Linked DNA regions of Saccharomyces cerevisiae S288C. The protein of the gene in region 1 binds, or shares a complex with, the protein of each later gene. Each region holds a gene or a part of one and is shown in the gene's direction. Other genes may lie near its edges. The genes, in order: GDI1, SEC4 and YPT31.

Evidence for each region.
Region 2: the proteins of GDI1 (region 1) and SEC4 are in contact, whole or in part, in a crystal structure (PDB 3CPH), measured with the Saccharomyces cerevisiae proteins. Residues at the interface, in NP_011062.1 of Saccharomyces cerevisiae: Thr5 (codon at 3,017), Ile6 (codon at 3,020), Tyr44 (codon at 3,134), Arg78 (codon at 3,236), Arg106 (codon at 3,320), Tyr107 (codon at 3,323), Tyr237 (codon at 3,713), Glu241 (codon at 3,725), Gln244 (codon at 3,734), Ala247 (codon at 3,743), Arg248 (codon at 3,746), Ala251 (codon at 3,755), Ile252 (codon at 3,758), Tyr253 (codon at 3,761), Gly254 (codon at 3,764), Thr256 (codon at 3,770), Tyr257 (codon at 3,773), Met258 (codon at 3,776), Leu259 (codon at 3,779), Leu282 (codon at 3,848), Arg445 (codon at 4,337); in NP_116650.1 of Saccharomyces cerevisiae: Ile53 (codon at 3,101), Gly54 (codon at 3,104), Ile55 (codon at 3,107), Asp56 (codon at 3,110), Phe57 (codon at 3,113), Trp74 (codon at 3,164), Asp75 (codon at 3,167), Thr76 (codon at 3,170), Ala77 (codon at 3,173), Gln79 (codon at 3,179), Arg81 (codon at 3,185), Phe82 (codon at 3,188), Thr84 (codon at 3,194), Thr86 (codon at 3,200), Thr87 (codon at 3,203), Ala88 (codon at 3,206), Tyr89 (codon at 3,209), Arg91 (codon at 3,215), Asn123 (codon at 3,311).
Region 3: the proteins of GDI1 (region 1) and YPT31 are in contact, whole or in part, in a crystal structure (PDB 3CPJ), measured with the Saccharomyces cerevisiae proteins. Residues at the interface, in NP_011062.1 of Saccharomyces cerevisiae: Ile6 (codon at 3,020), Tyr44 (codon at 3,134), Arg78 (codon at 3,236), Asn81 (codon at 3,245), Thr96 (codon at 3,290), Leu99 (codon at 3,299), Ile100 (codon at 3,302), Thr105 (codon at 3,317), Arg106 (codon at 3,320), Tyr107 (codon at 3,323), Asp109 (codon at 3,329), Phe110 (codon at 3,332), Lys111 (codon at 3,335), Gln112 (codon at 3,338), Arg226 (codon at 3,680), Tyr227 (codon at 3,683), Leu233 (codon at 3,701), Met236 (codon at 3,710), Tyr237 (codon at 3,713), Glu241 (codon at 3,725), Gln244 (codon at 3,734), Ala247 (codon at 3,743), Arg248 (codon at 3,746), Ala251 (codon at 3,755), Ile252 (codon at 3,758), Gly255 (codon at 3,767), Thr256 (codon at 3,770), Tyr257 (codon at 3,773), Met258 (codon at 3,776), Leu259 (codon at 3,779); in NP_010948.1 of Saccharomyces cerevisiae: Glu49 (codon at 4,852), Trp67 (codon at 4,906), Asp68 (codon at 4,909), Thr69 (codon at 4,912), Ala70 (codon at 4,915), Gln72 (codon at 4,921), Arg74 (codon at 4,927), Tyr75 (codon at 4,930), Arg76 (codon at 4,933), Ala77 (codon at 4,936), Ile78 (codon at 4,939), Thr79 (codon at 4,942), Ser80 (codon at 4,945), Ala81 (codon at 4,948), Tyr82 (codon at 4,951), Arg84 (codon at 4,957), Glu113 (codon at 5,044), Pro203 (codon at 5,314), Thr204 (codon at 5,317), Ile205 (codon at 5,320), Ser206 (codon at 5,323), Leu207 (codon at 5,326).

The regions. Positions count from the first base shown.
Region 1 is NC_001137.3:436,612-443,327, forward strand, and holds GDI1 (Gdi1p), read left to right. Parts: upstream 1-3,004; coding exon 3,005-4,360; downstream 4,361-6,716. Other genes in the region: YER134C (Mg-dependent acid phosphatase), read right to left, coding at 656-1,192; YER135C (uncharacterized protein), read right to left, coding at 1,341-1,733; YER137C (uncharacterized protein), read right to left, coding at 4,762-5,208. UniProt on the Saccharomyces cerevisiae protein: Regulates the GDP/GTP exchange reaction of SEC4 by inhibiting the dissociation of GDP from it, and the subsequent binding of GTP to SEC4. Plays an essential role in the yeast secretory pathway.
Region 2 is NC_001138.5:127,390-133,258, forward strand, and holds SEC4 (Rab family GTPase SEC4), read left to right. Parts: upstream 1-2,944; coding exon 2,945-3,592; downstream 3,593-5,869. Other genes in the region: proteasome activator BLM10, read left to right, coding at 1-2,521; VTC2 (vacuolar transporter chaperone), read left to right, coding at 4,421-5,869. UniProt on the Saccharomyces cerevisiae protein: Involved in exocytosis. Maybe by regulating the binding and fusion of secretory vesicles with the cell surface. The GTP-bound form of SEC4 may interact with an effector, thereby stimulating its activity and leading to exocytotic fusion.
Region 3 is NC_001137.3:213,576-219,454, reverse strand, and holds YPT31 (Rab family GTPase YPT31), read left to right. Parts: upstream 1-4,707; coding exon 4,708-5,379; downstream 5,380-5,879. Other genes in the region: ZRG8 (Zrg8p), read left to right, coding at 1-1,398; FIR1 (Fir1p), read right to left, coding at 1,762-4,392; CHZ1 (Chz1p), read right to left, coding at 5,557-5,879.

The DNA.
Region 1 (6,716 bases):
AATAAAAACCAACTATCGTCTATCAAGCGAGGCGCTGAAATCCTACTATTCGCTCGAAAGACCGCTGAACGCAGGAGATTCTTTTTTGATCTTGAATATCATTTGAGTATTTTTGTTCTACATTCTAGTTTTAGGAAAATCATCAATCTATGGCAGGAATCAATAGTGTTGGAATAAGAAATGCATATTTGCCTGCGAAAAAAAGTTATTCTTTTTTTTTGGTTAACGTAGTTAAACTACTCTGTTAAAAATAATGGGTTAAGGTTCATGTTCGTCACATAATGTTTCGTACACTTAAAATTCAAACGCTATCAGTAGCATTACAACGTGTATGAAGATCATTGGAGAAAAGCAGATGGTTAAGAGCTTCTTGCACTGAAATTTGAAAATATTTGTCTGAACTTAGTAGTGAAAAGTGGTGAATGAACCAGGTTTTTATACATAGATATATGGTTAAGTTATGAAAACTCTTTTTGGAAGAACAAATTAGTACAAAGGCTGAGGCGGATTGGTTAAAGTTTTTAAATTAAAAGTGAGCTTCTATTTTGATAAATCACAAATATATAATTTTTAACAGTGATGTATCATCTTCCCATAAATGTAATGACTTCTTCTTATGCTCAGATGATGCTCTGTGAACTAAGTGCGCAGTCCTTCAAACCTTTCCACTCAGGTAATCTTGATAAAGTTTCCAAGATGGTCCATTCTCTGGGTCTCTTACATAAACAAACTTCACTCCGTATTTCTCCACTTCTTTGTTTCTACTTTCATCATCAAATAAACAAATCTTTTTCGATTTTAAATCGCTGGTATTATAAAGATCTTTCAAACCGTCCCTTAAATGGCCAATTTTACTTCTTTCTCCCCACTGAAATTCATCGAACAGGTTGGCCAACGGGGTTACGACACCAGCATACTTGACCTTGAATATTTTCAGTATTTCCTGGGCAATCTCAGGTGCCCACGTTCGTGACGCGGTCATTAACTTAACTCCATTATCTTTAAGATCACCTAGTATACGTGGGATATCTTTGTAGATTGTGAGCTCGTAACCATCTCTACATATAATTGTGAGAACTTCGCCATTACTACTTTTAACTGGCTTAAAGGGACCGTGCAAATGGGTATCACAATAGCAGGGCCAAATGGTGTAGTCCAAATCGAAGGCGGCCACGTCAGGGTATCCAGTCATAATAAACGCGTTGAGACTATTTTGGAGCAGGATTTGTAACAAAATTGTTCTCTTTGTAAGTTTAAGGACAAAAATGCTTGTTTCTCGAGAAGGTCTCCTTTTCGGCAGGTCCTTCTTCTAGTGCGTGAAAAATATTCTACTCAATCCCTTAGTATTCTTTGTAAACAATACACTTTAAAGAAATATGAATGCTTATCTGCTTTTCAACAATCATTTTAGAGTTCTTATTCACTGAGGTGCGAATGGGTACGAAATTTGTTTCAGGAGAATTTAGCTTGTTGCACACAAATTTCTGCCATTTATATCTGCAAGATCTGTTTCCCTCTTTCCAACTAGCGAGGCATATTAGAAAAAGAGTGAATAGTAACTTGTGTAAGTTTTGATGTAACGGTAGTATAGAGTACCTATAATATTCGCCGATTATATTCTCAAAACTTGTAAATAACGCCATGTCACCGTATGGAGAAAGTGCTAACCAAATTGTAATATCGACCAAGACCTTTTTCTGTGAATTATGTAAGTTTCTTAAAGTCCATGTCATGCTTGAAAGATTTTAATCAACCTTGCATTTGTGGTCGTTAAACTCAAAGGGGATATTCAAACGACAATCGACAACTAACTTCGAATAAACTAAGATTCACTTTATTGGGATATAATCAATTACCCTTCATTAAGTGGTGTATATGTTCCTGACGTATTGTCATTTTCGGGATAAGAGGTTTGATGACTATTTCTCGATTTTCATGTCATCCTCTTTACACCGTACGTGATAATACACTAATTACACGATATAACTGAGCAATGATATTTTAGAGCTTCATCTCCACAATTTCATGTGTAAATCTTAAGAATTGTAGATATATTCTATTTTTTAATGAAACTTTTTCAACAAATTAGGTTTCGTGGTCTAGTCGGTTATGGCATCTGCTTAACACGCAGAACGTCCCCAGTTCGATCCTGGGCGAAATCAATTTTTTTTTTCGAAAACGTTATAATTTACGTTAATTTACAAAGGGCATTCCTTTCATACTAAGCAATGTTTACTTCCAATCTCTTGAGACATCTTCGAAACTAGTTGAAAAGAGACAAATCCGCTTAATAACTAATAGTTACAAGAATGGCCAATCAAACTCTTGCCAAGCGATACAAGCTTTACAATCCTGTAACAAAAACATACTTTTAGCGGTTCCGACGGTATTCTTCTTTTTCTCCATATATTTTGCTTATGTTGGCTACTTTAAAATAATTACCGCTTCCCCCACCAGAAACTAAACATGAGCTAAAGGCGCAAAACTTAAAAAATTACATAGCCAAGACTGTTTTCAAGAAAAAAATATCAGACCACATTTGATAAAGTACATACCTCTGTTAACTCCCGTAATACACCCATATTCTTGTACTTTCTACAATCTATCACTCAAACTTCTCTATTATCCAACATCTGCTGTTGCATAGTAAAGTAGGCCGTAAACGCTCAAAACCGTTATCTTTAGGTTACCCTTATGTTTGAATCGTTTATCTCACATTGGCGGTGTTTTCCCCTCTCCTGTGGGCTCCAAAATCTTGGCCGTGGGAAGCTTCAGCGAGGGATTGTAGATGTAGTTTCAACACGTCGGCTGATTTATCCCGATTTTGTTAGTAGAAAAGGTTCTACTTCATTCTTGCTTGAGACGTCGTCCCATCAAATTTCTAACATAGTCTTTTTTCAAGGAAGGATATTTTTCAAAGCAGGACTGCAATTAGTCTTTTCCTTTTCTTTACTCCCCTTCCATCATAACTGTTAGTGAATAACCACTTATATAGCATAACACAATGGATCAAGAAACAATAGACACTGACTACGACGTGATTGTCTTAGGTACCGGTATTACCGAATGTATCTTATCTGGTTTACTCTCTGTAGATGGAAAAAAGGTATTACATATTGACAAGCAAGACCATTATGGTGGCGAAGCTGCTTCTGTGACCTTATCTCAATTGTATGAAAAATTTAAACAAAATCCGATCAGTAAAGAGGAACGGGAGTCCAAGTTTGGTAAAGATAGAGATTGGAATGTCGACTTAATTCCTAAATTCCTGATGGCCAATGGTGAGCTGACAAATATTTTAATACATACCGATGTGACCAGATATGTCGATTTCAAGCAAGTTTCTGGCTCCTACGTTTTTAAGCAAGGCAAAATTTACAAAGTGCCAGCTAATGAAATAGAAGCCATTTCATCGCCATTGATGGGTATTTTTGAAAAACGTAGAATGAAGAAATTTTTAGAATGGATTAGCTCTTACAAAGAAGATGACTTGTCCACTCATCAAGGATTAGACTTAGACAAGAATACCATGGATGAAGTGTATTATAAATTTGGGTTAGGCAATTCTACCAAAGAATTCATCGGTCATGCAATGGCTTTATGGACCAATGATGACTACTTACAACAACCTGCTAGGCCATCGTTTGAGAGGATTTTGTTATATTGCCAAAGTGTTGCCCGTTACGGTAAATCACCTTATTTGTATCCTATGTATGGGTTAGGCGAACTTCCACAAGGATTTGCTCGTTTGTCGGCTATTTACGGTGGTACTTACATGCTAGACACTCCAATTGATGAAGTATTGTATAAAAAAGACACAGGAAAATTTGAAGGGGTCAAGACTAAGCTGGGAACTTTCAAGGCCCCATTGGTTATTGCTGATCCAACTTATTTTCCCGAAAAATGTAAATCTACTGGTCAAAGAGTTATTAGAGCCATCTGTATTCTTAACCATCCAGTTCCGAACACCAGTAACGCGGATTCTTTACAAATTATTATCCCACAAAGCCAACTGGGAAGGAAAAGCGATATATACGTTGCGATTGTTTCAGATGCGCATAACGTTTGCTCCAAGGGTCACTATTTAGCAATTATTTCTACAATCATTGAAACTGATAAACCACATATAGAATTAGAGCCTGCTTTCAAACTTCTGGGACCAATCGAAGAAAAATTCATGGGAATTGCCGAATTATTTGAACCAAGAGAAGACGGCTCTAAGGATAACATTTACTTATCCAGATCATACGACGCATCCTCTCATTTCGAATCCATGACTGACGATGTTAAAGATATTTACTTCAGAGTAACAGGCCACCCATTAGTTCTAAAACAAAGACAAGAACAAGAAAAGCAGTAAATTCATACCTTTACGACTAAAGCAGCAATTGGAGGGTAAACTTATTTTTTCCGATAATGTTCTTGGCAAATGAGTTACCAATAAATGACATGAATTACAGAAAACAAGAAAATATTTGCCAAAAAAAAACCAATACAAAAATATAGGGGAAAAGATTATCCTTTATTCCTTTCTCATTCCACTTTTTTTTTTTGTTATATGCGTATTCTGATTGATTCATAACTAAGTATCTTTCCTTTTCTTTTCTTTCAATTTCTTTTTTCCATATATAAATACATAAATTTACATACCTTATGTAGTATAATATATGGAAGAATGCTACTGAACACATCAGTACACATGCTATGTACTTACAATCTTAGTAAGGTAGATGTAGGTCTAATGCTTCGATGATCCCTTCATTATTTCTTGGGTATAACTGTCAGTCTCGCACCGCAGTGTGCCCTTGTGTGGCCAGCCTCGTGACAAAATGAACATTTTATCTTATTTTTTTTCTTTTTACTACTCTTTTTGCTGGTTACTCCCTGAATAGTGCTCGTAGTTTTATCTGCCTCTTCCTTGGCTTTAATCGGTATCAGGGCATATTTTTGATCGTCTTTTTCCATGATCTCTATTCCATTCCGCAGTACCATGTCAAGAACACTAGTATTCATCATACTTCCCACAGTGCTTTCATGCAATCCCAGTAGTAGGTTAATGAATTTCTCTAATTCTTTCAACTTATGCTCGTACTCAACTTGTAATTGTGATCCATCTTTTTGCTTTGAAATGATCAACTTAGCCAGGACATCCATAGCTTGTGACAATCTGACTATATCATTTTCAGTCTTATTTGATGATTCACACATTCCTTGTTATAACAACCCTCGGTATTCTTTTAACAAACTTACGATGACTATATTGTATTAGTGTCAACCTCATCGCCAGGAACTTTTCATTGAAAATCTTCTGACAAATTTTCTGTGTAAAGGAAAGAAAATGGAGTATAAAATCGAAAGTTTATTCCAATTGTGCTAGGCTGTAATGGCTTTCTGGTGGGATGGGATACGTTGAGAATTCTGGCCGAGGAACAAATCCTTCCTCGCGGCTAGACACGGATTGCACGCCCTTTGGGCAAGGGATAGTTCTCTATTCCGCACCGTGCCCTGTTGTGGCAACCGTCTTTCCTCCGTCGTAAATTTGTCCTGGGCAGAGCTGTCTGCCCGGAGGCGGGAGAGTCCGTTCTGAAGTGTCCCGGCTATAATAAATCGATCTTTGCGGGCAGCCCGTTGGCAGGAGGCGTGAGGAATCCGTCTCTCTGTCTGGTGCGGCAAGGTAGTTCTGGGTCCTTAGGGGCTCCACCTTCACCGCTGTTAGGGGAGTTTTATCCAGCGTCAGCAAAGGTGACCCGTGATGGAGGCGGCCGGGATAGCACATATCAGTCGGATAATTGTGCAAGTTGATCGCTTCGGCGGTTTAATTTGGCGGTGCCATCAGGATTTACTCGCACATTGTGGCCGTTCCCTCGGGGATGGAGTGTGTCCTGAACCATATTTTTTAACATTTTTTTGAACTAATTAACCGTCCCAATGAGGGATGTTGGAAGAGTAAGTTGATTTAATGTCCTATTCTTGTTCTTTTCGAATATAAATGACGATTGGAAGGTGCATGTCAATGTTTATCATCATGTTCTTGTTGTAGGTAGTCCTTACCTTGGTTGTAGAGTGAGTAGCGACAGGCGGCAGCGGAATATAAGAAGGATAAAATGAGAATACTTAGAACGTGTTGAAAGAAGAATAAACGATCATCCATCGACTAGTACTGCTGCTACTAGTGTGCTGTCATACTACTAATATATTATCATATACAATATAAGAAGATGTCATAAACATTGAAAATAGTCATCAAATCTAATGGAAGCTGAAATTCAAGGGTTGATAATGTAATAAAATAAAGAATGACAAAGTATAAAAGGAAGAAGATAGAGTAACATTATTATGTAGAGCTATCAATTCGCTTTTTGTAGATTCCTATTTTTTCTCGAGGAGAATTGCAGCATATTCGTTCCACGTAATATTGCGGCCTTTAACAACAATGTAATTCCAACAATTATCTTAAAATTTGTCTATATTTTTAAAAAAGTATGAACAATTACCAACATGTGGTACATATTGGAGGCCCGCAAAGCTGAGTTGGCATTCATTCATTCTTTAAGTTGAACAAAAAGACAAAAAGATTTTCAAAAAAAATATGGTCTCTAGCGGGATCGAACCGCTGATCCCCGCGTTATTAGCACGGTGCCTTAACCAACTGGGCCAAGAGACCAAATTTTAATGAAATACTTTTACTGGAAAGAAGGTAACAAACCATGGAAGAT
Region 2 (5,869 bases), on another chromosome or scaffold:
ACACTGTATGAAACAATTAGTTGGGTCATATGGCGTAGTCATCAATAAAATTATTCCATCATTAGAGAAAGCGATTAAGGATCATGATTATATGAAAATCCAAGTTATTTTAAATGTTTTGTTAATTAAGAAAATCCATAGGAAGCTTATGACGGATTATAAAGACATCGGCAGATTGATATTTCTGCTTATTGAATGTTGTCGTGTGAATGAATTAGAGATTGGTATGTATGCAGATAAAATCTTAACTGACATAGTGATTGGGATCAAGATTCCTTCTAGTGTATGTGTCATTTCCGATCAAGCTTTCTTACCTTTAGCACCTCCTGATGGTACTATTAATTTGCAAGTTGAAGCGGTAAAGCTTGCCAAAAAGAAAAAGCGTGAGTACTACCTCTCTCTGTTAGTGGATTTGCAGGACAAACTTTTAGACAAATTAGATAATGAAAAAGATATGGGGTGGAAGATAAGAATGTTCATTTTACGTTTTGTTACACAAATCCAATCGAACCTCGAAAGCAAACCCGATAAAAGAGCAGTATTTTCAATAATCTCCCAAATCTCCACAAAACATCCCGAAATCATACATTTGGTTGTAAAGTCATTGTTGTCGACGTGCAACAAGATAATATCTCTCTCTGACTATGAATATGACATCACCAGGGCCTATAAGAATGAATTCAATCCATCATTTGTGGAAATACTGGACACTTCGACCACAAGCTTCCCTAAAACGTTTACTGAAGAAATGAATAACTTTGATAACCCCAAGTATTTTATCGATTTGAGGGCGTATGTAGGGTGGCTATGTTGGGGAAGGCTTATGTACGTCATGTCGCCGAAAGCTTTAAAGCTCAATTTACGTGAGAATGAACTGGAAGTCCTCAAGACAGCTGGTCATCTATTGACAAGAGAATTCCTGAGAGATGTTACAATGAATTTAGTCCAAGATAATGAAACTAGGGGTGTTTTTAGTAGTGGTAACGTGTCATTTTTCTCTTTAGTAATCCTTTTGATATCATCTGGTTTCTGCGAACTGAATATGTCGGATCTCTTTGAGCTATGTGAATCCTACTATAACAAAGACGATAAGGCTTCGATGATCATGTCTGTCGAGATAGTGGCTGGCTTAGTTTGCGGGAGTAAGTTTATGTCAGTCTCTGACTTGGACAAACGTGACACTTTTATCGAAAACTTCCTAGCCAAATGTTTAGATTATGAGTTGAACCATGACGCATTTGAAATTTGGAGCACCTTGGCATGGTGGTTGCCTGCAGTCGTTGATTTAAGAAGGTCTAAAACTTTTTTTTGCCATTTTATCAACGCCGATGGCATGTTTGACCGTGAATCTGATGCAGCCACACATCAAACCTCCAAAATTTACATGCTAAGAAGTATCTTGATGAGCATGGAATTTAGAGCCCCAGATGTTGGTAAGCTATTTGATGAGTTGGTATTTGATCACCCATACGATCAGGTTCGCCAGGCTGTCGCTAAACTATTGACGACCTTAGTTCAAAATCAAAGTAATCCGTCAATTTCAGATCCAACCACATTATTAGAAGCAGAACGGAATGATCCAGATGGATTAGGGTTACCATTAAAAAGCGTCCCAGAAAAGGTGGATGCCTATATTAAGAAGCAGTTTGAGATCATTAAAAATCTGGAAGATTCCGTTGTCGGCCTGAATCCTCAACAATTTATTAAGACAGACTATTTTTACAGGACATCCACAATATTTTATTGGATCAAAGAAATGGCGAGAGGGCCTAATAAAGTTTTGTTAGTTCCATATTTAGTCGATTATGTTTTACCATTTCTGATCGGATTAGTGAAACATAAAGATGTTTGTGCTCTTGCCAGTTTAGATCCTGTTCGATTGTATGCCGGCTTGGGCTATATGCCGATCAGAAAGAACCATGTTGCCGCCATTGTTGACTATGTTTGTTCGTCAAATGTAGCACTATCTTCAAACCAAACGAAACTACAGCTAGCTTTCATCCAACACTTTTTATCAGCGGAACTGCTTCAACTTACTGAGGAAGAAAAGAACAAAATTTTGGAATTTGTTGTCAGCAATTTGTATAACGAACAGTTTGTAGAGGTGAGAGTTCGTGCGGCATCCATTTTGTCTGATATCGTCCATAACTGGAAAGAGGAACAGCCGTTGTTGAGTTTAATCGAGAGATTTGCAAAGGGTCTCGACGTCAACAAATACACGTCGAAAGAAAGACAAAAGTTATCCAAAACGGATATCAAGATTCATGGTAACGTTTTGGGTTTGGGAGCTATTATATCAGCGTTCCCCTATGTTTTTCCCCTACCGCCATGGATACCCAAGCAACTAAGCAACTTATCCTCGTGGGCCAGGACTAGTGGTATGACTGGACAAGCTGCCAAAAATACTATTAGTGAGTTCAAGAAGGTGAGGGCCGACACTTGGAAGTTCGATAGAGCATCTTTCAATACGGAGGAACTGGAAGACCTGGAGGGTGTCCTATGGAGAAGTTACTATGCCTGATTCATATTAGTATAGGATATTAAGCACATATCTAGACATATATGTACATCTAAACAAATAGCTGGAGCTATCTGCTGATTAGTTTTACTCTAAAAGTAAGTTGTTAGTGTAACTATGATCACGGCTGCGTGCCGGGTAATAAATCAATTTTGAGGAAAACTGGAAGTTCACCACTGAGAATGATCAACGGCAGGGAAACGTTATACCAAACAAAGCATTCTACCTCTAGGGAAGCTGGAAACTTGAATTACCCACTATAGCTTGTCTTTTAGTGATCCATTATTCCAACCTATTGCAATTCCAAGAAAATAAACTAGGAACTTTTTTTTTTGGAAGAATAAGAAAAGGAGAAAAAGTAGACATACTGTATATACACGAGGGCGTATCGTTCACCAGAAAGAATATAAACATAACAAGATAAACATGTCAGGCTTGAGAACTGTTTCTGCTTCATCCGGTAATGGAAAGAGCTATGACTCTATTATGAAAATTTTATTGATTGGTGATTCTGGTGTTGGGAAATCATGTTTATTGGTTCGTTTTGTTGAAGACAAATTTAACCCGTCATTTATCACCACCATTGGTATTGATTTCAAAATAAAGACTGTCGATATCAACGGTAAGAAGGTAAAGCTGCAACTTTGGGATACCGCTGGTCAAGAACGTTTCCGGACAATCACCACAGCGTATTATCGTGGTGCTATGGGTATCATTCTTGTATATGATGTGACAGACGAGAGAACATTTACTAATATCAAGCAATGGTTTAAAACCGTTAATGAGCATGCGAACGATGAAGCACAGCTACTGTTGGTTGGTAACAAGAGCGATATGGAGACGAGAGTGGTAACAGCTGATCAAGGTGAAGCCTTGGCTAAGGAGCTGGGTATACCATTCATCGAGTCCAGTGCTAAGAACGATGACAATGTCAACGAGATTTTTTTCACCTTGGCGAAGTTAATCCAAGAAAAAATCGACAGTAACAAGCTTGTTGGCGTCGGTAACGGTAAAGAGGGCAATATTAGCATCAATAGTGGGAGCGGAAACAGTTCTAAATCAAATTGCTGTTGAAGAAAAGAAGATTTTTGCTTCTTTGAGAATTAATCGTGAACTGGAATTAGAGCTATAAATCGCTTGATTCTTTTTTCCCTTTTTCTCAATATTCGCAGGTTATTTTTCCTTTATATATATACATTGTTTGTATCTTTTTTTGATTACCATACTTACTATTTTTATATTAGTCATATTAGATGTCACTTTTATATTATCTAAACAATTCAAACTTCTCACACTAACTTTTTCAGCATACTTCTACTGTTGTTCTCTGCTCTGGAAGGTATTTTCATCAGGCGATTGGTAAAAAATCAAGAAAGAATCTAAAAAATAGTGCAACAGGAAAACGAGGTTCCCAGTTTCCCTGGGAATTCTTATCCAAGTATATATTTTACTTTTAAGATTCAGCACTTTTATTTCGTTCTAATGTTTTTACCGGTAGTAAAGTTTTGCTTCTTGAATCCACTATTCAACTACTTGCGCTTATGTAAGGTTCCTGTATGGTTGCATAATCACTCAATTCGAAAAAAAAACCCACGTGCTGCTTGGAAATGAATCCGCACTGCGGTATAGCACTTCCAGAAAGATACTGACTGCGAAATTCGCTTTATGGAGTGTTTAAGCAATTGGTATCTTACCCATTAAGAGTCATTTCTTTCTTCTTGCCAACTTTTTTCCATCCTATTATGACCTCAAAAAAGGCAGGCTCTCTTCGTCTTATCTTTTCTATCGGAAGCGAATTACTGGGAAAGAGGCATAGGTATAAACAGATAAAATAGACGAAAAGAGTTTAGAAAAAAAAGTAGAAAGAACGACTACACCTCAACATAACGACACTTTTTTGACATGCTGTTTGGAGTGAAGTTGGCTAATGAGGTTTATCCTCCTTGGAAGGGTTCTTATATTAATTATGAGGGCTTGAAAAAATTCCTGAAGGAAGATAGCGTGAAGGATGGAAGTAACGATAAGAAAGCACGCTGGGACGATTCAGATGAATCCAAGTTTGTGGAAGAGTTGGATAAGGAACTTGAAAAAGTCTATGGTTTTCAACTAAAAAAGTACAATAACTTGATGGAGAGATTGTCCCATCTGGAGAAACAAACAGATACGGAAGCAGCCATAAAGGCCTTGGACGCTGATGCATTCCAACGTGTATTGGAGGAACTGTTAAGCGAGTCTACCGAATTAGACAATTTTAAGAGATTGAACTTTACTGGGTTTGCTAAGATTGTTAAGAAACATGACAAGCTATATCCAAAGTATCCATCTGTTAAATCTTTGTTGGAAGTTAGATTAAAGGAATTGCCTTCCCATTCGGAAGAATATTCCCCATTGTTGTATCGTATTTCATTTTTGTACAACATTTTGAGAAGTAATTTTAACACTGCATCTGAACCCTTAGCCAGCGCTTCTAAGTTTTCTAGCATTGTCAGCAATGACATAGACATGAATTTCAGAAGCTTTAAATTTTGGGTTCATAATGACAACTTAATGGAGGTCAAAACAAGAATCTTGAGACATCTTCCCGTGTTGGTCTACGCCAATGTTCCCTCCGAAAACGATGACCTGGTCAATAGATTCGAATCAGATATATCAAATAATGATGAAATTGTGGGTAGTTCGAGCTCCACTAGTAGCGTAGAACATGGCTTGGGAGCGCGCTCCTTCGATCCATTAATCAACACGCTATATTTTGACAATGAGCATTTTGAATTATATAACGACAAGTTATTAAAGTTAAATTCAGCACCTACTTTAAGATTAAGGTGGACTGGCCAGTTATCTGATAAGCCGGATATTTTCTTGGAAAAGAAAACTCTTATTGAAGACGAAGCCACTGGGAAGTCTGAATTTGATCTAACTAAATTGCAATTGAAACAAAAATTCATTAACGGGTTTATTTTCGAAGGTGATAAGAAATTTAAAGAACAAACTTTGAAAAAGTTAAAAGAAAGTGGTACGGCAGGGAGAGACCTGGAAAGGTTAGAAGAAGATTTCTCTGAGATTCAAAACTTTATTATCAAGAATGAATTGCAACCAGTTTTTAGAACTGTTTACACCAGAACTGCTTTCCAGATTCCCGGCGATGACAAGATAAGAGTAACCATTGACTCTAATATTGTATTCATCAAGGAGGATTCATTCGACAGAGAGCGTCCAATTAGAGACCCTAATACCTGGCATAGAACTGATATTGATGCCAATGTTGCAAATCCCTTGAAATTCCTGAGAGGAGGCGAGTATGCTAAGTTTCCTTATTCAGTAATGGAAATTAAAGTGAAAAGTTCATTAGAT
Region 3 (5,879 bases), 220 kb from region 1:
TTGTCTGATGAGGACGATAACGACGACAAAGAGATGTCAGAAGCTGAGTCTTATATGTTTTCCGATGAAGCTCCTAGTATAGAAAGTGGACCAGCAAATGCAAAATCAACACGGGGGATCTATAGTCAATCTAACAAAAATATCATACGTGATGGAAAGCCGAACTATAGTTTCTCTCTCAAAAGGAATAATTCGGATGATGAAACGGAGCACACTTCTGCAATAAAGGCTTCCCTTACAGGTACTACTGGCTCTACCAAGCCTACAGTAAAGTCGTTTTCAGATATATTTAATGTTGATGATAGTGCAAGTGACGCTGAAAGTGATTCTGGGACAGGAGGGAACAATTCTAACGGCTTAGTATCCAATGATTCAGAAAGGCAGGTCTCCCTGCAAAGTTCTTTGTATGAAACCAAATCAGAATCCCATCCTCCCAATCATCCTCATTCGCAGATTCTTCAAACACCGGCTAAGATTGTAATAACTCCAAGCGTTTCTGATGCGCAATCACAAGCCCTTGCAATCACCGATGATGATGGTGAAGATGATGATGATGACACTAGTAGCATACTAAGAACTCCGTTTCAACTTATTGATTCCTCTCATTCACAGCAGCCGCACTATGCGAGCCCACAGTATACGGCTGTACTCAATAGCCCCCCTCTTCCGCCGCCAGCTAGGTCTCAATCACTAAAATATCATGACTTAAATTGCGATTTAGATTCAGAAGTCCCCAGACCAATGAGTAATCTCTTTTTCATTGATGAAGCTGAGGAAGACGAATACAATCAGAAAAGTAAGTTTTTTGATTTCGACCACTACGACATCGATGAAATTAATGGCATTCCAGAGGATTTTAACTTCTCTGATTCTGAAAGAGATGATCTTAATCGTCGTACACTGAAATCTCCTTTACGGGGCGGCTCCAAGAATAGAGAAGTCTCTCCTTTTTCATCTGTGTCATCGTCTTTCAGAAGTACGCATAGTTTTAATGGGAAATTAACGATCAACCAAGGGGCTAAAGAATTAGCTCCGATGAAAAATAAGATTGAACTTACAAACAAGACTGTCACCTTCTTTAACAGTAATAATTGGAATACTTATGACTGCAATTCACTCTCCCGAAAAACTTCATCCCAAATGAGAGATAGTAAATATCAAAATCATAATGTTGGTCAAAACGTAGAACCTTCAAGTGTTCTTTCGCCACAACATCAAATATCGAATGGTTTAGATGGAAAATGCAATGATAACTACGTAATCTCACCAAATTTACCGACAACTATCACACCAACTAATTCATTTACTAAACCCACACCGGAGTTCTCAAATGACTACTCATTAAGCCCTATTCAGGAGACACCATCTTCTGTTCAAAGCTCGCCAAAGAGAGCGTGAGAAAATACTGCATGTTTTTTATGCCCGTAGCCTCCACATTTCTTCCCTAGTAGGTGACTAGCTTTAAAACCTTTGCGTAATGTTCGTATTTGTAATCAATTGCATGTGCCAAGGATGATCTTTGGTAGATATAAAAGTACATATTATTAATTTGTTTTACAGAATTGGCATGTCTGAATATAGTTTTTTTAAGAAAGTACAAAAACTAGAAGTTTTTCTTACATGTAAGAGATATGAAATTTTGTAATGTCCGATGAAAAAATAAAATAGGCAATAAGCAAATTGCCATTCCGATAAATCTTCATGCGATGAGCTGGTCAAATCTGTTTACCAGAACAATTTGTAGGGTTGTTTTTTTTTTTTTTATTTTAGTTTGCGATGAGATGGAATGTCGTTATGAATACTGGACTGATACTTGTTCGGGATCAAAGAATTCCCTTTTTCATCATACAGTGGAAAAGGCAACGGCGGAAGTACTCTTGATTTTTTTGGCTTTGTTTGTTGTCCTTTTTCTGAGAATTTATGCTTCTCATTTACCAGTTGATAAATAATTCTTTTTGCATCATCTGCAGTTTTATCACACATGCCCAAAATTTCGTTGCAATGGCTTAGACGTTTCTTCTGTTGCTCATTTTTAGCTTTTTGAGCATGGCAGACTCTTGTTCGTGATATATCGTTATTTTTGAGGCCTACATCTTCATCCTCATCTAAAAGAATAACCTCAACCATTTTACCATCTCTTTTTTCGTAAATGGTATTAAAATCCAAATCGTGTCTATTTGAAGGAGTATTCTTATTCCTGGGGAACGAATAGTTGTTCTTCTGGGATGGAGGACCATGACCTAAATTTTTAATTGATCGTTTTTCTTCTATAAAGTTATGTTCTAAAGTTGACCTGTTAATGGTCACAGAAGGTTGAGATGTTGTATCCGTAATGGCAGTATTGGAAGAAAACTCAGAATTGTAGGAAGATTTACTACTACCCGATTGTGACGATTGGCTATTGGAAGATAAAACACTAAATGGAATTGAATGCGGATTCACACAGTTTCTTTGTTTACCAATTAAGTCTGTAGGAGTTTGGTTCAAAGGAGTTGGTTCCTTGTTTTGAATTTCTTGACCAAATGAATTGAATGAAGATAGCGGTTTGAATGGCTCTATCGATGGAACACTTTTTGTTTCACTAATTATTGCAATAGAATGGTCAGCAACTTCAGTAGAAAAAGCTTCGTTTTCATCCTCTGGGCATTCAATAAGTGATGGTGATGGTTCTCTTGTATGAGAGATACTTTCATCTGGTATAATTTGAATCGAAGGTACCGAGATTTCTTGGAGGAAGGACCCATTTTTAGGTGATTGAGCTTCAGGAGGAATATCAGATGTTTTTGGAGATGACGTGAACCGTAAGGGTGATCTCTTAGGTATTTCAATGGAAGTACATGGGTTAGAATGTTCAACAGGAATTGAGGGAGCAGAGGTCGGAGCTGGTGGTGTGGAGGTTGCCTCGAAATTTAAGGAAATGTCATCAATATTATGAACGCTCCTGCTTCTCCTATGTTTATGTATCCTCGGATTATTATTCGTCGGAGATTTTTGCAAGTCTATTAACATCTGTCTTCTGGATTCAAATGATTGATTCACAGGCGAAGTATCAACTTTCAGGAAATCTTCATTGTTCGTGTCTCCAGAGTTTCTATTTTCATGTACCTTATCCACATTATTGTTAGTAGTACTGGAGGGAAATTTGAATGACATATCGAGTTTGTCCAGTGATTCAGGGTTAACTTGGCGAGTTGGAGAAGTTGGCTCCTCGCTAGGTTCAAACTGCTGGAAAAATTTTAATGTCCCATTTAAACCTGTGCTTGGTGGGGATTTCATGTGCTCTAAGTCGGGGATGTCTATCAGTTTATTTGGTGTTGACAGAATTTTTAACGAAACATTTTTTTCAGTGTTTTTTTCCTCACATTCCCTATCTGTTTTACTCTTAATATGTTGTGGGTTTTTGAGATTTCTCCTTTGTATCTTCAGATTGACGTTGGCGTTCTCATCAATTCCAAGAAGCTTATCAGCATCTGCATTATTTAACTCGAAAGACACATCATGGTGGGCATATGGAATAGAATCATCTTCATCTGAATACGACGATGAGGGCTGTTCTAGAGAAGATTCAGTTGACGATGAGGTGTTACCTTCTTGAAACTGGCTATAGCCATCCCCATCGTAAACCAAGCTACTCCTCTTTTTATCCTTGTTTTGCGGAGATAAGTAGGGCGGCAGAGATATTTCTAATGGAACTGGTAAATGATATCTGTTCAATGGCGATTCAGGAGTGAGATATAAATTCTTTTCGGGAGTTAAGGGAGGAGGCCTGTCAAATGATAAATTCAGCGGAGATACTTGGCTAATATTACTAGTATTCTCATTAATACTGGTCTCAACCTCGGTTGCACGATATGTGTTCATTGTATCCACAATGATCGACTGTAATGATTTTGATCTAGAATGGTTTGGTTCTTTTCCACTACTACTTGTGTTGGACCTAACATCAGAACGAGTTTTACGGTGCCTGCTTTCACATTTTTTTCTCCTGTTATGATGAAACTTCCAAACTTCTTTAGGGACATCGACCAGTATTTTAGAGTGCATGTCGACTAAATGACCATGGCTATTCATAAGTAATGATGAAGTAGACATTCTTCTTTCGGTTTCATTTCCACTCTTGGGGAATACAATTTTCAGTGGGGAGTCCTGTGATATTTCATTTGGATCTGGAATGGAAAATCGAACCTGCGATTGTGTATGCTCATGGGGTTTCTTGTTCTTGCTCGATCTCTGTCGCGGTATAGCAACACTCTCTATATTATTAGTTCTATTAATGGCTAGTAAGTTTTCGCGTGGGCACAACACATCACGGCATTGATCATGGTCCATCTCATGTTGTATCGATAATGTACTGCACACTTTGCTCTTGACAGGTGTAACAGGGAGGCTCATAATCGGAAAAAAAGCTTCAGATCTATCCCAGCGCAATCTAATTGCACTAATTAGGTAGTAGTCTTGCTGTAAGTATGTTGTATTGTTGTTCCTAGGCGTCAATTCTACTGTTGTTATGTTTGGGCTCGTTTGTTGTTTGTTTACCATTTTCCAATGCGGAATATCACAGGCCGCTGCGGTGTGCGGGTGCTAAATTAGAGAAAGAGGGAAACTCAAAACTTTTCAAGAAAGAAACGAATAACAATTTGACCTTTATTACAAGGCACTTTGTTTAGGCCAGCAAAGGGATTCTGACGGCGTCTGGGGATTTCAACAATGAGCAGCGAGGACTACGGGTATGATTACGACCTACTATTTAAAATTGTACTGATCGGTGATTCCGGGGTAGGGAAATCCAATCTATTGTCAAGATTTACGAAGAACGAATTCAATATGGATTCAAAGTCTACAATTGGGGTTGAGTTTGCCACCAGAACTTTGGAAATTGATGGCAAGAGGATCAAGGCGCAGATTTGGGATACTGCGGGCCAGGAACGTTACAGAGCCATTACTTCTGCTTATTATAGAGGAGCTGTAGGTGCCTTGATCGTTTACGATATCAGTAAATCAAGCTCATATGAAAATTGTAATCATTGGTTATCAGAATTAAGAGAAAATGCAGATGACAACGTCGCAGTGGGGCTTATCGGTAACAAGTCTGATTTGGCCCATTTACGTGCTGTACCTACGGAGGAGTCCAAGACTTTTGCACAGGAAAATCAGTTATTATTCACAGAAACAAGTGCTTTGAACAGTGAAAACGTGGATAAGGCTTTTGAAGAGTTAATCAATACCATCTATCAAAAGGTCAGCAAGCATCAAATGGACCTTGGTGACTCCAGTGCCAACGGGAATGCCAATGGTGCGTCCGCTCCTAATGGACCAACGATTAGTCTGACACCAACACCAAACGAAAACAAAAAGGCAAATGGAAATAACTGTTGTTAAGAGATATTTTGCAGCAGTTGCGCACTTGCATGTGAATGACTCTTCTCCCCTTTAATTCTGTGCTATATTTTTACAATTTTCTGCTGACATATAGTTTATATACATATAGAACGCATATAGGAAATTGAAGTAAACAGAATACACAAGTAGAGGCCGGTATGTACGACATTTTGCTTACTACTCTTTAAAATCATCGTCTTCTTCGTCTTCATCGTCTTCTTCTTTTTCACCATATCCTACATCATCTTTAGAGCCTGTGCTAGGTTCCTTCTTGTCTAATTCTTCTGCAGTCTTTTTATAGTCAATTACTTTGCCGCGTGTTCTTCTTCCGGATGTGATGATATTAGAGGTATCAATTTCTGCCAAATCGTCCTCTTCTTCTTCTCCCTCATTTCCCATCAATGCGTCTAACTTGGCATCGTCCATATCAGATTCAGAATCTTCAACAGTACCATTATTTTCGCTCTTCGTCAAACCATTTTTAGCCTTAGTCTCCTCTT